Mus musculus: one gene and its partners. The protein of the gene in region 1 binds, or shares a complex with, the protein of each later gene. Links are inferred from orthologs where the notes say so. Each region holds a gene or a part of one and is shown in the gene's direction. Other genes may lie near its edges.

What was found. The genes of interacting proteins can lie anywhere in the genome.
Region 2: the proteins of Tnni2 (region 1) and Tnnc2 are in contact, whole or in part, in a crystal structure (PDB 1A2X), measured with the Oryctolagus cuniculus proteins. The link is inferred for Mus musculus from reciprocal best matches to the Homo sapiens genes TNNI2 and TNNC2. Residues at the interface, in NP_001076252.1 of Oryctolagus cuniculus: Glu5, Asn8, Arg9, Ile11, Thr12, Arg14, Arg15, Gln16, His17, Leu18, Lys19, Ser20, Val21, Met22, Leu23, Ile25, Ala26, Glu29, Leu30, Glu33; in NP_001076114.1 of Oryctolagus cuniculus: Ser13, Glu15, Met16, Ala18, Glu19, Ala22, Lys91, Leu96, Glu98, Cys99, Arg101, Ile102, Phe103, Arg105, Ile119, Phe120, Ala122, Ser123, Glu125, His126, Val127, Glu131, Ser134, Leu135, Asp138, Phe152, Met155, Met156, Val159, Gln160.
Region 3: the proteins of Tnni2 (region 1) and Tnnc1 are in contact, whole or in part, in an NMR structure (PDB 2MKP), measured with the Homo sapiens proteins. The link is inferred for Mus musculus from reciprocal best matches to the Homo sapiens genes TNNI2 and TNNC1. Residues at the interface, in NP_001139301.1 of Homo sapiens: Arg116, Met117, Ser118, Ala119, Asp120, Ala121, Met122, Leu123, Ala125, Leu126, Leu127, Lys130, His131, Lys132; in NP_003271.1 of Homo sapiens: Asn18, Glu19, Phe20, Ala22, Ala23, Ile26, Val44, Met45, Met47, Leu48, Gln50, Pro52, Glu56, Phe77, Met80, Met81, Cys84, Met85, Lys86, Asp87.

What each region holds. Positions count from the first base shown.
Region 1 is NC_000073.6:142,441,026-142,444,686, forward strand, and holds Tnni2 (troponin I, fast skeletal muscle), read left to right. Parts: upstream 1-790; 5' UTR 791-843; intron 844-1,443; 5' UTR 1,444-1,465; coding exon 1,466-1,473; intron 1,474-1,665; coding exon 1,666-1,672; intron 1,673-2,145; coding exon 2,146-2,187; intron 2,188-2,277; coding exon 2,278-2,406; intron 2,407-2,545; coding exon 2,546-2,635; intron 2,636-2,880; coding exon 2,881-3,057; intron 3,058-3,189; coding exon 3,190-3,285; 3' UTR 3,286-3,385; downstream 3,386-3,661. UniProt on the Homo sapiens protein: Troponin I is the inhibitory subunit of troponin, the thin filament regulatory complex which confers calcium-sensitivity to striated muscle actomyosin ATPase activity.
Region 2 is NC_000068.7:164,777,470-164,781,194, reverse strand, and holds the start of Tnnc2 (troponin C, skeletal muscle), read left to right. Parts: upstream 1-1,460; 5' UTR 1,461-1,529; coding exon 1,530-1,532; intron 1,533-2,967; coding exon 2,968-3,019; intron 3,020-3,107; coding exon 3,108-3,251; intron 3,252-3,349; coding exon 3,350-3,464; intron 3,465-3,586; coding exon 3,587-3,723; intron 3,724-3,725. UniProt on the Homo sapiens protein: Troponin is the central regulatory protein of striated muscle contraction. Tn consists of three components: Tn-I which is the inhibitor of actomyosin ATPase, Tn-T which contains the binding site for tropomyosin and Tn-C.
Region 3 is NC_000080.6:31,207,131-31,210,855, forward strand, and holds the start of Tnnc1 (troponin C, slow skeletal and cardiac muscles), read left to right. Parts: upstream 1-1,181; 5' UTR 1,182-1,224; coding exon 1,225-1,248; intron 1,249-2,672; coding exon 2,673-2,703; intron 2,704-2,929; coding exon 2,930-3,076; intron 3,077-3,433; coding exon 3,434-3,548; intron 3,549-3,725. UniProt on the Homo sapiens protein: Troponin is the central regulatory protein of striated muscle contraction. Tn consists of three components: Tn-I which is the inhibitor of actomyosin ATPase, Tn-T which contains the binding site for tropomyosin and Tn-C.

The sequences.
Region 1 (3,661 bases):
GCGGTGGCACCACTCTCTGGGGTTGAAGGACATGTTTCAAGTTGCCTGTGCAGAGGCACCCATGGGCAGGGTGTGTGGCAGGCGGAGAGAGGCCCGGCTGCTGGTCCAGGGACCCTTTTGCTTCTCTCTTCCTGGGCAGAAAGGCAAGTTCACTATAAGAGGTGGGCACCACTCTCCTGAGCCCTGACTGCCTTCCACACAGGGCCTAAGAGAATGCTTTTGTTTTTGTTTGGTGTGTGTGTGTGTGTGTGTGTGTGTGTGTGTGTGTGTGTGTGCGCGCGCGCATGTGCGCTCAATTTTGCAGGAAGACTGGTGAGGTGAACAGTCAGCCCAGGGGTCCAAGCAGGGCATGAACACCCAGCAGGCAATGAGCGGCCAAGTGGGTGCAAAACTACAAGACCACACATACCATTTGACAATGACTCCAGTTCAGCCTACTTTTGGTGAAGTCCGGTTTCCTTTGGAGGAAGACTTCAGTGGATGTTTGAGCTGGGTACCTTGGAGACCCACATGGAAGGTTACCCTTGCTGTCCTGAGGGCTCTTGCAGGAACAAGGCTGGCATCTTGAACTCGTCATTGAGACATAAATAGAGCAAACCACCCCCAACTCCCCACCCCAAGACTTCTTGGACAGGCCAGCGCCTGGGCTGACCGGCCAGGCGGCTGGGCAGGTGGAGAGGCTCTCCTCCTCTCTGTGCCCCCATTGGTCTGAGGAGACTCCATGCCCTTTCTGAGCAGGGGCCCGGCCCAGGGAAAGCAATTTATACCCCTCCCCCTGGCCCACCAGCCCAACTCACTGCTGCCGGCCTGACCTCGCTCCCAGCACTGCTGCACAGCATCTAGGTGAGGCCCAGCCCATCTTCTTGAGGTGGGAGACTAGAGCACTACTCAGGCTGGCTCATAGGAGGACTTCCCCGGGCAGGGGCTTGGGGGTTTGGGGGTCTGCTGCCGACAGCTCTCTCTGAGGTCTCCCACAGATCTAGGGTTGAGAGCAACATGTGCTACTAGGATAGGACAGGGGTCTACAATGGGCCTCGGATAACAGGCCCTGTCTCTGGGGACACACAAGCAGGAAAATGTTCAGGTCAAGCAAGTAGGGACCTGAGCCCCCAGGCCACACAGAAGAACACTTTCTTCCGTGCATTCACTTCTCAAGCCAAAGGAGCAAGAGTTAAAAATAACAGGCTCACCCTGGCAGCCACCTGTGCTGGCCAGCCCCACCCCATCCCTCCCTCGGGGACAGCTGCAGCTCCTCAGGCCCCGCCCGGGACATTTTGGGAACACTTTCTCCTCTTACTTCTCATCTTCAGGGTGGGGGTGGGGGGTGATGTCCTCTGAGAAGGTCTGAGTTGCGGGTAGAGCAGAAGTAGCCTAGCAAGGCCAGGTCTCCATGCCTAGCCTCACGCAAGGCGGACACTGACACCATCACCTCTCTCCCCACAGGATCAGAGCTTGAGATCTCAGGATGGGAGAGTAAGTGATACCCAGGGTGACCCGTACTGCAGTCCCTCACCAGGGCTTGGGTCTCCTATCTCCCTGCCCTTTGTGGCTGCCGCCCAACCCTTCAACCCCATCAAACCCTAGGTTTCATGGCTACTCCTGTGAGCCACAGTCTAACTTCTCTTTTTTTCTCCCACTCCCACCTCCCTCTTCCTCCTGGGACAGTGAGGAGGTGAGTATCACTAGAGGCTATAATAGTCCCCTGAGGCTAGGACAGAAGACACCCCTGTCAAGGCCCCCAAGTGCCCCACCCCCTGAACTACCCCCAGAGAAAGAGAGGAAGTGCCTGCCTGGTGCTTTATGAGGCAAGGGAAGTAAGACTTGGGCCTAGTCACAAGGGAATCACTTCTCCTTTCTAATTTCTGTTCACCACTCACCTTCCGGGCCTCCCCTTGCCCACAGTCCCTGAGGCCTGGCTATATCCTGCCTCCTTATCCCCATTACCCCCTTCAGCCCTATGTACCACCTAAGCAAAGAGTCAGGACCACAGGCATGTGTCCCTGAAGCAGGCCCTGGACTAGGGAAAAACACCAGGGCCCTGGGCAGTGGCCTTGTTATCTCCTTGGGAACCCCAAGTCAGATGACTCTAAGCAGGTCAGAGCTCCAGCTAAGGCCTGACTCTGACCCCTCTGTCCTGTCCTGCAGAAGCGCAACAGGGCCATCACGGCCCGGAGACAGCACCTGAAGGTAAGGGTGGGCTGCTGCAGAGGCCTGTGGATATAGAGGTAGGGGTGGGAGTTCACTGCAGACCCTCACTCCCACCATTCTGTTTCTCAGAGTGTGATGCTCCAGATAGCGGCCACAGAGCTGGAGAAAGAGGAAAGCCGCCGAGAATCTGAGAAGGAGAACTACCTGTCAGAACACTGCCCGCCACTGCACATCCCAGGCTCCATGTCTGAAGTGCAGGTAGTTCCTTCCTGCCCCGTACCACCCAAGACCCTACTATCCCAACTCCTCAGCAGGTCAACCCTCCTGATCAGGACTGGGAGGGAACAATGATCCTCAGGTATCAGGGTGGCCACCCACCCACTGCTTGCCCACCCAGGAACTCTGCAAACAACTGCATGCGAAGATCGACGTGGCTGAAGAGGAGAAATATGACATGGAGGTGAAGGTGCAGAAGAGCAGCAAGGAGGTGAGAGGGAGGAGCCCGTGGTGAGGGGGTGGGGCATATGGCATGGGGAGGAGCCAATGGTGAGGGGGTGGGACATATTGCATGGGGTGGAGCCAGTGGCTTGCAGGGTAGCACAGGCGATATGAAGGTGGAACCAGCTGCTATGGGATGAAGCCAGGTGATGAGAAAGTAAGGCCAAAGATACAGGGCAAGATCAGGGACATGGAGGCTGTCAGGCTCCTAAACCTCCTGTTCCTTCCTCCCAGCTGGAAGACATGAACCAGAAGCTATTTGACCTGAGGGGCAAGTTCAAGAGGCCCCCACTTCGGAGGGTGCGTATGTCTGCCGACGCCATGCTGAAGGCGCTGCTGGGCTCTAAGCACAAGGTGTGCATGGACCTGAGGGCCAACCTGAAGCAGGTCAAGAAGGAAGACACTGAGAAGGTAGGTCAGGGCCCAGGGGAGAGCCAAGAGGGAGAGTCCACTTACAGTCCCTTTCATAGATAGTAAAGCAAGGCCAAGGGTAGTCTGGAGCAGACTGGAGTGGATCTGAGACCTCTCTGGTCCTACCCTCAGGAACGGGACCTGCGTGACGTGGGTGACTGGAGGAAGAATATTGAGGAGAAGTCTGGCATGGAGGGCCGGAAGAAAATGTTCGAGTCTGAGTCCTAACTGCCCACTTCCCCAGTACCACCCTAGCATTGGGGAAGCACCCAACATCCAGTCTGGGAGTACTTGGCCTCGCTCCAATAAAGGATTCACATCTCTTTCACAGTGTGGTCTAGTTCTGTCTCTGCCCACTCTGGAGTCCATCATCAGTGACCAGCAGTGTGGCAGGAGAGAGGCCATACTGCTTGGGTAGAATTCAAAGACCCTGGGCTGTATCCTGTAACTGGTGGGTGTGGTCAATGTCTGGACCTGTCTAACATGACAGAACGTGGAGAAAGATGACCATGGACTCCAACATATCTGAGTGGGAGTCTGGGATCAGCTTCTTTGTTCCTTGGTGCAGTCATTCACTCAGAATGGTTCTGGCAGGCACACCCCA
Region 2 (3,725 bases), on another chromosome or scaffold:
CCACAATGAAGTTACATAAGAATTGGCAAGGCTTGCCCGGCGTGGTGGCGCATGCCTTTAATCCCAGCACTCGGGAGGCAGAGGCAGGCGGATTTCTGAGTTCAAGGCCAGCCTGGTCTACAAAGTGAGTTCCAGGACAGCCAGGGTTACACAGAGAAACCCTGTCTCAACCCCCCACCCCACCCCCCACCCCCCACCCCCCACCCCCGCAAAGAAAAAGAATTGTCAAGGCTGCGGCTCAGTGCTCAAGAGCACTTGCTGTTCTTCCAGAGGACCTTGGTTCAGTTCCTAGCACCCACGTGGTGGCTCCCAACCGTGGGATCTGGTGTCTCCTTCCGGCCTCTTTGGGCCCTAGGCATACACATGACGCACAGACATATGCGCAGACAGAACATCCATACACATTAAGAAAATTACGTTTTAAAAGAATCGCCAGGGCTGGGGGTGTAGCTCAGTGGGTAGAGTACTTTATAGCATGCACAAGGCTGAGGCTTGAATTCCCACCCAGCGCTATAATCTAGCATGCCTATAGTCTCAGTGACTTGGGAGACTAAAGCAAGAGGGTCACTTGAACCCAGGATTCGGAGGGCGGCTCACTTGACAGGGCAGACTCTTTTGCAAAATAAATCAAAGGAGTTAAACAGGGTTTGGTGGTACATGCCTGTAGATCGAAGCCCTCTGGAGGTGGAAGTAGGGGGATTAGAACCTCAAGGATAACGTCGGCTACATAAGGGGTTCAAGGCCGGTCTGCACTATATGAGCTCTGGCTTCCAAAGTGAGGGAAAGAATTCCTCTATGGACTGTATGGCTTCTGCTGTAGTCAGATGGGGATAATAATAGTTACCTTCATGGAATGAATAGTAGATGAGATCACGGAATCAAGATGCTCAGCGTAGTGTGGGCACAGGTTGTGGGAGTTCAATACATGGTGTCACTAGCTCAATGCTACGCATCACTTCCCCTAGGCACCCAGCACAAGCTAGGTGACTTAGTCATCTGGGCTCATGGTTGCCATTTCTATCTTGGAGGAAGGTGTGCCTTGAGGGCCCTCACCATCCGCCCACATTCCCGTGGCTCAGGGGGAGAACAGAGTCGGGAATGAATGAATTTTGGACGTCAAGCCTGGGCTCTTCCCATTCTGCTGTGCCCTCCTTCTGGACATCCTCCCCCATTTTGAAACACATGTGCTGGAGTGGGGTGGGGGGAGGAGCTCCCCTAAGACAGTGGAGCAGGGCGGGGCCCTCCTCCTAAGAATCCAGGAGAACGCCAGAGAGTGCCACCTGCTCCGAAGCTTAAATTTCCCTGCAAAGGACCTTGGCTAAATTAGGTAATGGGCTAGGACTCTAGGAGGGGAGGGGCTTGCTGCCCCCTGCATCTGATTGGTCAGGATATCCAGTTCTGGGGAGGAGGGAGGAGGGAAGAGAGGATGCCCCTACAAATCCTGGGGGCTAGAGAGATCTGGGGCACCTTTGGGTGGTGGAGTGCGGAGGAGACAACCCACAGCGGAGGAGTCCCAGTCGCCAGCAACCATGGTAAGGACAAGAAGGGTCTTCACACTTTTGTCCCCAGGCTACTTCTAGGCCCCTCTCTGTCCTAGAACTGTGTGTTCTGTGGGCAGGAATATGGACATCTGAAGGTGGAAGGGTTGCCAGAACTCAAGTCCCGAGGAGATGTCCTATAAAGGCTATGACTTCTCTTGGGTGGGGAAGGCTGGCCAGGATAGTTCAGGAATTAATCTTCAAGGTTTATGAGTTCCTGGCCACCTTGAGGTTTGGAACAGTGCTATTGTGCAGCCAGAGCTGTGTGGAAAGGTCTTAGCCTGTCTGCTTCCACGGAGAGATGGAGAGCACGAGGGCAGAAAAGTGACCCAGCAGGGCAGACACAGAGTAGGCTTCATAGGCTCAGCCAAGCCTGTGGCGACCCAAGAAGGAAGGCTTCCTCTAAGAATCCTGAGGAGGATGGTTAGTAGGGTGGGTACCCGGCCAGCGTTAGAGCCTCTGACCAGCCACAGAGGGGGTCTGATCTGGACCTGCCACTTTCTTCTGCGTACCCCTCCTACTTGACTTGAAGAAGTAATTGGACTCCAGAGACCAGCTGCCATTGCCCATGCCCAACTAAAAATAGCCTATCCTCCTGGATCAGGCCAAGGGCCGGAGGAGGGAAGGAGGAACTGGGCCAGCTGGCTGAAGGATGTCTTGGGACTCGTCACCCCTTCTTCACCATCCCGAGTCCAAAGCCCTGACCCAGATGGCCTGGCTTGGATGTGTCCCAGAGAAATTCACAGAAATCTTACTTACATGCTCACATGTGGCATGCCAGGCCAACCCGAGTGAGCTACATAGCAAGACTCTCTAAACACCAAAGCCAGAACGTTGAAATGGAACAAAGGGTTTTTATTTTCACACCAGGGCAAGGCTCCGTCACATTTGACATCAAGAGAGGTGTTTACGCCGATGACCGAGTGGGAAGTCTTGCCTCTGAGAACTGTCTGAGGCAAAGCTGCCCATCTCTTCTTGTGGTCTCAGCGTCCAAGCGCTTGGCAGATGTTCTGTGACTTTTGCATTCCGTTATTTAGTTGAGGACAAATATTCATTGACCAACTGGTCAAGTCCCAGGCAGCAATAGGAGACAGGGAAACTAAAAGATCACCAGTGAATGGCACTAACACACTCAAGCCCTCTCTCAATCCTGATTTCTTATTATCTCTACAAAGTCATAGGAAGAGTGACTTGCCAAAGGTCACTGTTGGGGTGGGGGTTCCCCGACTACTCTCTGAAGAAACTGTGGGTATAACCTGTGTCCCTTTGGCACTGGGGATGGGCACCAACGGGTACCTGGGAGGTACTGCTGGTTTGGAGTGGTTCTGGAGGACCCAGGGGCTCTTCCTAATACAAGAGGGGGCTAGGGAGGCTGAAGCTGGGGTGAGAGTCTGCCCTTCTACGCTCTGATTCTCTCTGCTTTCTACAGACGGACCAACAGGCTGAGGCCAGGTCCTACCTCAGCGAGGAGATGATCGCTGGTGAGTAGAGCTAGCCATTGGGAGAGATGCGGTGTGAGGCTGACAATCCAACTGGCCTCACCCATCGCTCCTCCTGTCTCCCCGCTAGAGTTCAAGGCTGCCTTTGACATGTTCGATGCTGATGGCGGTGGGGACATCAGCGTTAAAGAGTTGGGCACCGTGATGAGGATGCTAGGGCAGACACCCACCAAAGAGGAATTGGATGCCATCATCGAGGAGGTGGACGAGGATGGTGAGTTGGGCTCCTCCAGGGCAGGGGACCGGGAGGAGAGAGGCACAGGGCACCTTGGGCTAAGCAGGCCCCACATCTGCCAACCCCGATCCTTGCAGGCAGCGGTACTATCGACTTTGAAGAGTTCTTGGTCATGATGGTGCGCCAGATGAAAGAGGATGCGAAGGGGAAGAGCGAAGAGGAACTGGCTGAGTGCTTCCGCATCTTTGACAGGTGCGTGGGGCTTCCGGGATCCTGGACCTGAGAGCAGATGGAGCCCGTGGGCCTGAAGTGAAGAAGCAGGCTGGCCAGGGTGAGGTTGACCCTGTGTCCTTCTCTGTCCTTCCCTCCCAAAGGAACGCAGACGGCTACATTGATGCTGAGGAGCTAGCTGAGATTTTCCGGGCTTCTGGGGAGCATGTGACAGAAGAGGAGATCGAATCCCTGATGAAGGATGGTGATAAAAACAACGACGGCCGCATTGACTTTGATGGT
Region 3 (3,725 bases), on another chromosome or scaffold:
CGACACTTGGGGGGTTTGTTGTTAAAAGTACTGGTGGAGAATTGATTGTGGTGATTCTGCAGTGCTCAGTACCCCACGGGCTTTCCCCTGGCAGTGTGCTAGGCGGCACACTGGTGTGTTCAGGGAGAGCTTATATGCAGCAGACGTGCAGGTGGATGGAAGAGATATGCGCTGTCCATCTGGTTTCCCAGATGACATCCTGCAAGAGCTCAAGGTGAGGAGGAGACAGACTAGGCCTTGGACACAAGAGCGTGGCTGAAGAAACATCCATAGGGAACAACCATAGGGAAGACTTAGCTGGAGAAGAGATGACCCAACCGGAGGAGGAAAAGAGAGAATCCTGATAGACATAGGGTTCTTTAGGGACACTTGTTGACTCACAGAATGCAGCTGACTCAAACCCGAAGTGAACACTGATTGTTGTCCTTGAAAGATGGAAGGTTGCGGCGTGGTAGATCCCGCTGAAGGGCTTCAGGCCAGCCTATTCTTTGTGGGCCAGTGACTTCTTCCATTACCAGTGTCATATTATACTCTGAACCTTGCATAGGAAGTGTTTCTTGGCAGGACTTACACTGCCAGCCTCTGTTGGCATGCTACCATCTCTCAGGGGGTGTAATATAAGGTAGGGATTCTCCGGTCAGCTTGACCTCAGGCAAGTCACTGTGATTCCATAGAAGACCGAACTGTTTACTTCACATTTCCTGTGTGCTCATATTTTCATTCATTCAGGAAACTTTTTCCTGAGGTTGTTGAGGATGTGTGTGTGTGTGTGTGTGTGTGTGTGTGTGTGTATTGCATTTAGGTGCTTGCTCCCAAACCTGAAAACTTGAGTTCAGTCCTGGGTTCCTGGGAACCTAGGTAGCAGAGAGAGATAGATGACTCCTGCAAGTTGTCCTTTGACTTCCACATGCACTCATAAATAAAAGCAATACATTCTTTTTTTTTTCTTGAGACTTCCCTGGGGGTGGGGTGGGGTCTGGGGAACAGATGGCAAGAGACCTGGTCCTTGCAGTCCTTCATAGCTCCTGGCCCTAGGCAGATGATACAGGGACTTTGGCCAGCCTGAGATTACAGGGACCAGGGAGGGGGTGGAGGATATTCCAGGCAGTGGTGGGCTGGGCTGGGAATGTAGCAGGAGGTGGAGGGAGGCAGGGCTATATAAGCCCAAGCAGAGGGCTGGCTGGCTGGCAACCCCAGTAGCCTGTCCTGTGAGCTGTCGCCAGAATGGATGACATCTACAAAGCTGCGGTGAGAGATGAATCTTTAAGGGGTTAGGGTGGGTAGGTCCATTGGGGTTCCCTTAGCTAAGGATGGAGGACAGGGGTACACTAGGGAAGTGATGGGGGACTCAAAAGGGTCCCCACACACCTGTAACCCAGCCCCTTGAGCTGACATTTGGGGGATGCAGAAAGGGTAGCAATTCAGGGGTTTGTCAATGTGGCTAGGGGTATGGTCTCAGCTTTCAGCATCCTGTGTCTCCCTCTGTTTCTAACCTGTCACTGTCTTGAGTGTATTTGTGTTTTTATTCTTTAGACATCTGTTGGTCTTTCACAAGGTCTTTCCATCTCTGTTCCTTCCTCACGATGTCTCTGAGTCTTTGTCTCTCTGTGTGTCTCCAGGTCTGCGCCCCGCACCCCCTCCCAAGCTTCCATTTCTCACAATCTGCTTCTTACATACTCAGATCTGCCTCTCTCCTCTAGCCCCTGAGCTGGATGAGGAGGCTCTAGAAGGTGGGAGGGAATTGTGAGAGGGCTGGAGAACTTGAGTCCTGGGATGGGAAAGATGCTTTGAAGGTACAGGCCTGAGGAGAGGGAGGGAAGAAGGAATGGCTTGTTGGAACCTCAGTCCCTGGCAGGCTCAGGGGTTAGGTAGGAGTTGAGAGTGATAAGAGTCAGGGTTAGAGAACAGTGACCCTAAGACTGTTCGATTTCCTGGGGACGCTGAGGGACTTTTGATATACCTGCTTCAGAGACAAGAAAATCCTAGCAAACAGCTGTTCTCAGGAAATTCTCTCCCAACCCCCGGAATATGGCCCCACTTGTGAGCAGGGAAGGGCTGCAGCTGGTTCCTATGGTATCCTTGGCTATCTTGTAGGAGTCTGTGGAGCTGGAGTAGGGGGGTGGCCCTCCACCCAGTGCCCATACAAGGCCTGGCGGGGCTGGGGACTAATTTTGGCTCCTGAGGCAGCACCAGTAGGCCAGGGGGGCAGATAACACTACCCCACCCCCTGCATACCAAAGTCCCCAGAACAATCACCAGGTTTAACTTTGTCCCCCTTTAAAAATAGCTCAGTGGCCACCCTGGTCAGGTTACAGTGGGTGGCTTTGCTCGCCCCCACATTCGTTTTATTGTCTCAACCTGAGGGACAGCTGTCTCTCAGGCCATGCAGCTTAAGTTTCATTAGGATGACATAAAGGACATGCAATGGTCAATGACTATTGTCACTCAGGACACCTTGGTCCTGGGAGGGGTGCCTGCCTGTCACCTTGGCCCTAGCCCAGCCTCTGAGAAACCATCTGGGTCACCTTAGGGCAGGGAAGGAGGACTTTGTAACCTGGGAATATATTCTCCTTCTGTTATCATTCTTCCCACCTGTAGAATGGGGTCAGTCTCTAAGTCTGCTAAGGCCTGAGCTTGGGTCCTGAGGTCCTGAGTTCCCCTCTTCTCTCTAGGTAGAACAGTTGACAGAGGAGCAGAAGAATGGTAAGTGTCTCCCATTGAGGGGACAGCAGGGCTGGGGGGGCGTAGAGGGGGGACGCCTTTCCAGGAATGAACCCCAGATTAGAGGCTATAATCTGAGGGTTCTCCTTGCTGTGACCTCAAAGAACTCTCGAAGGGAGGTGGACAATTTCCTGGTGGCCCCAGGGACCTGGATTCCTAGTGTCCTCCTGGCTGCTGATCCAATCTTCTCACCCTCTGTTGGACCCAGAGTTCAAGGCTGCCTTTGATATCTTTGTCCTGGGCGCGGAGGATGGCTGCATCAGCACCAAGGAGCTGGGCAAGGTGATGAGGATGCTGGGCCAGAACCCCACACCTGAGGAGCTGCAGGAGATGATTGACGAAGTAGACGAGGATGGTGAGTCCCTTCACCCACTCCAGTCTCCACACGTGTATGTAGCACCCTGGGTTCACTGGCCCAGGAGCTACCTCCCCTCCATATCTTCACCATCTCATCCAGAAACTTGGCAAGTAGCTCATACTGTGATTCCAAGAAGGCTGAGGTAGTAGATCTGCTGTGAGTTTGAAGTCAGTCTGATTGGGTCACATAGCTCTCTATGGTCCAGTCCATCTTGGACTGCAGAGCAAGGTTCTATCTCAAACAAGAGGAGTGGGCAAAGGAACACACTAGCCCTATAGTGTGGGGAGGAGGGGGGGGGGCGTGGATTGCTGGAATGCTAACTGTTCTCTCTCCGGCCCTGCTGCCTACCCACAGGCAGTGGCACAGTGGACTTCGATGAGTTTCTTGTCATGATGGTTCGGTGCATGAAGGACGACAGCAAAGGGAAGTCTGAGGAGGAGCTGTCGGATCTCTTCCGCATGTTTGACAAGTGAGGACTTGCTTGGCTTCTGACCCTGGCCCAAGCAGAGAGGAGAAGGGGTGGTTTCAGCTGGGCAGTGGTGGCGCACACCTTTAATCCCAGCACTCGGGAGATAGAGGCAAGTGAATCTCTGAGTTTGAGGTCAACCTAGTCTACAGAGTGAGTTCCAGGACAGCTAGGGCTGCA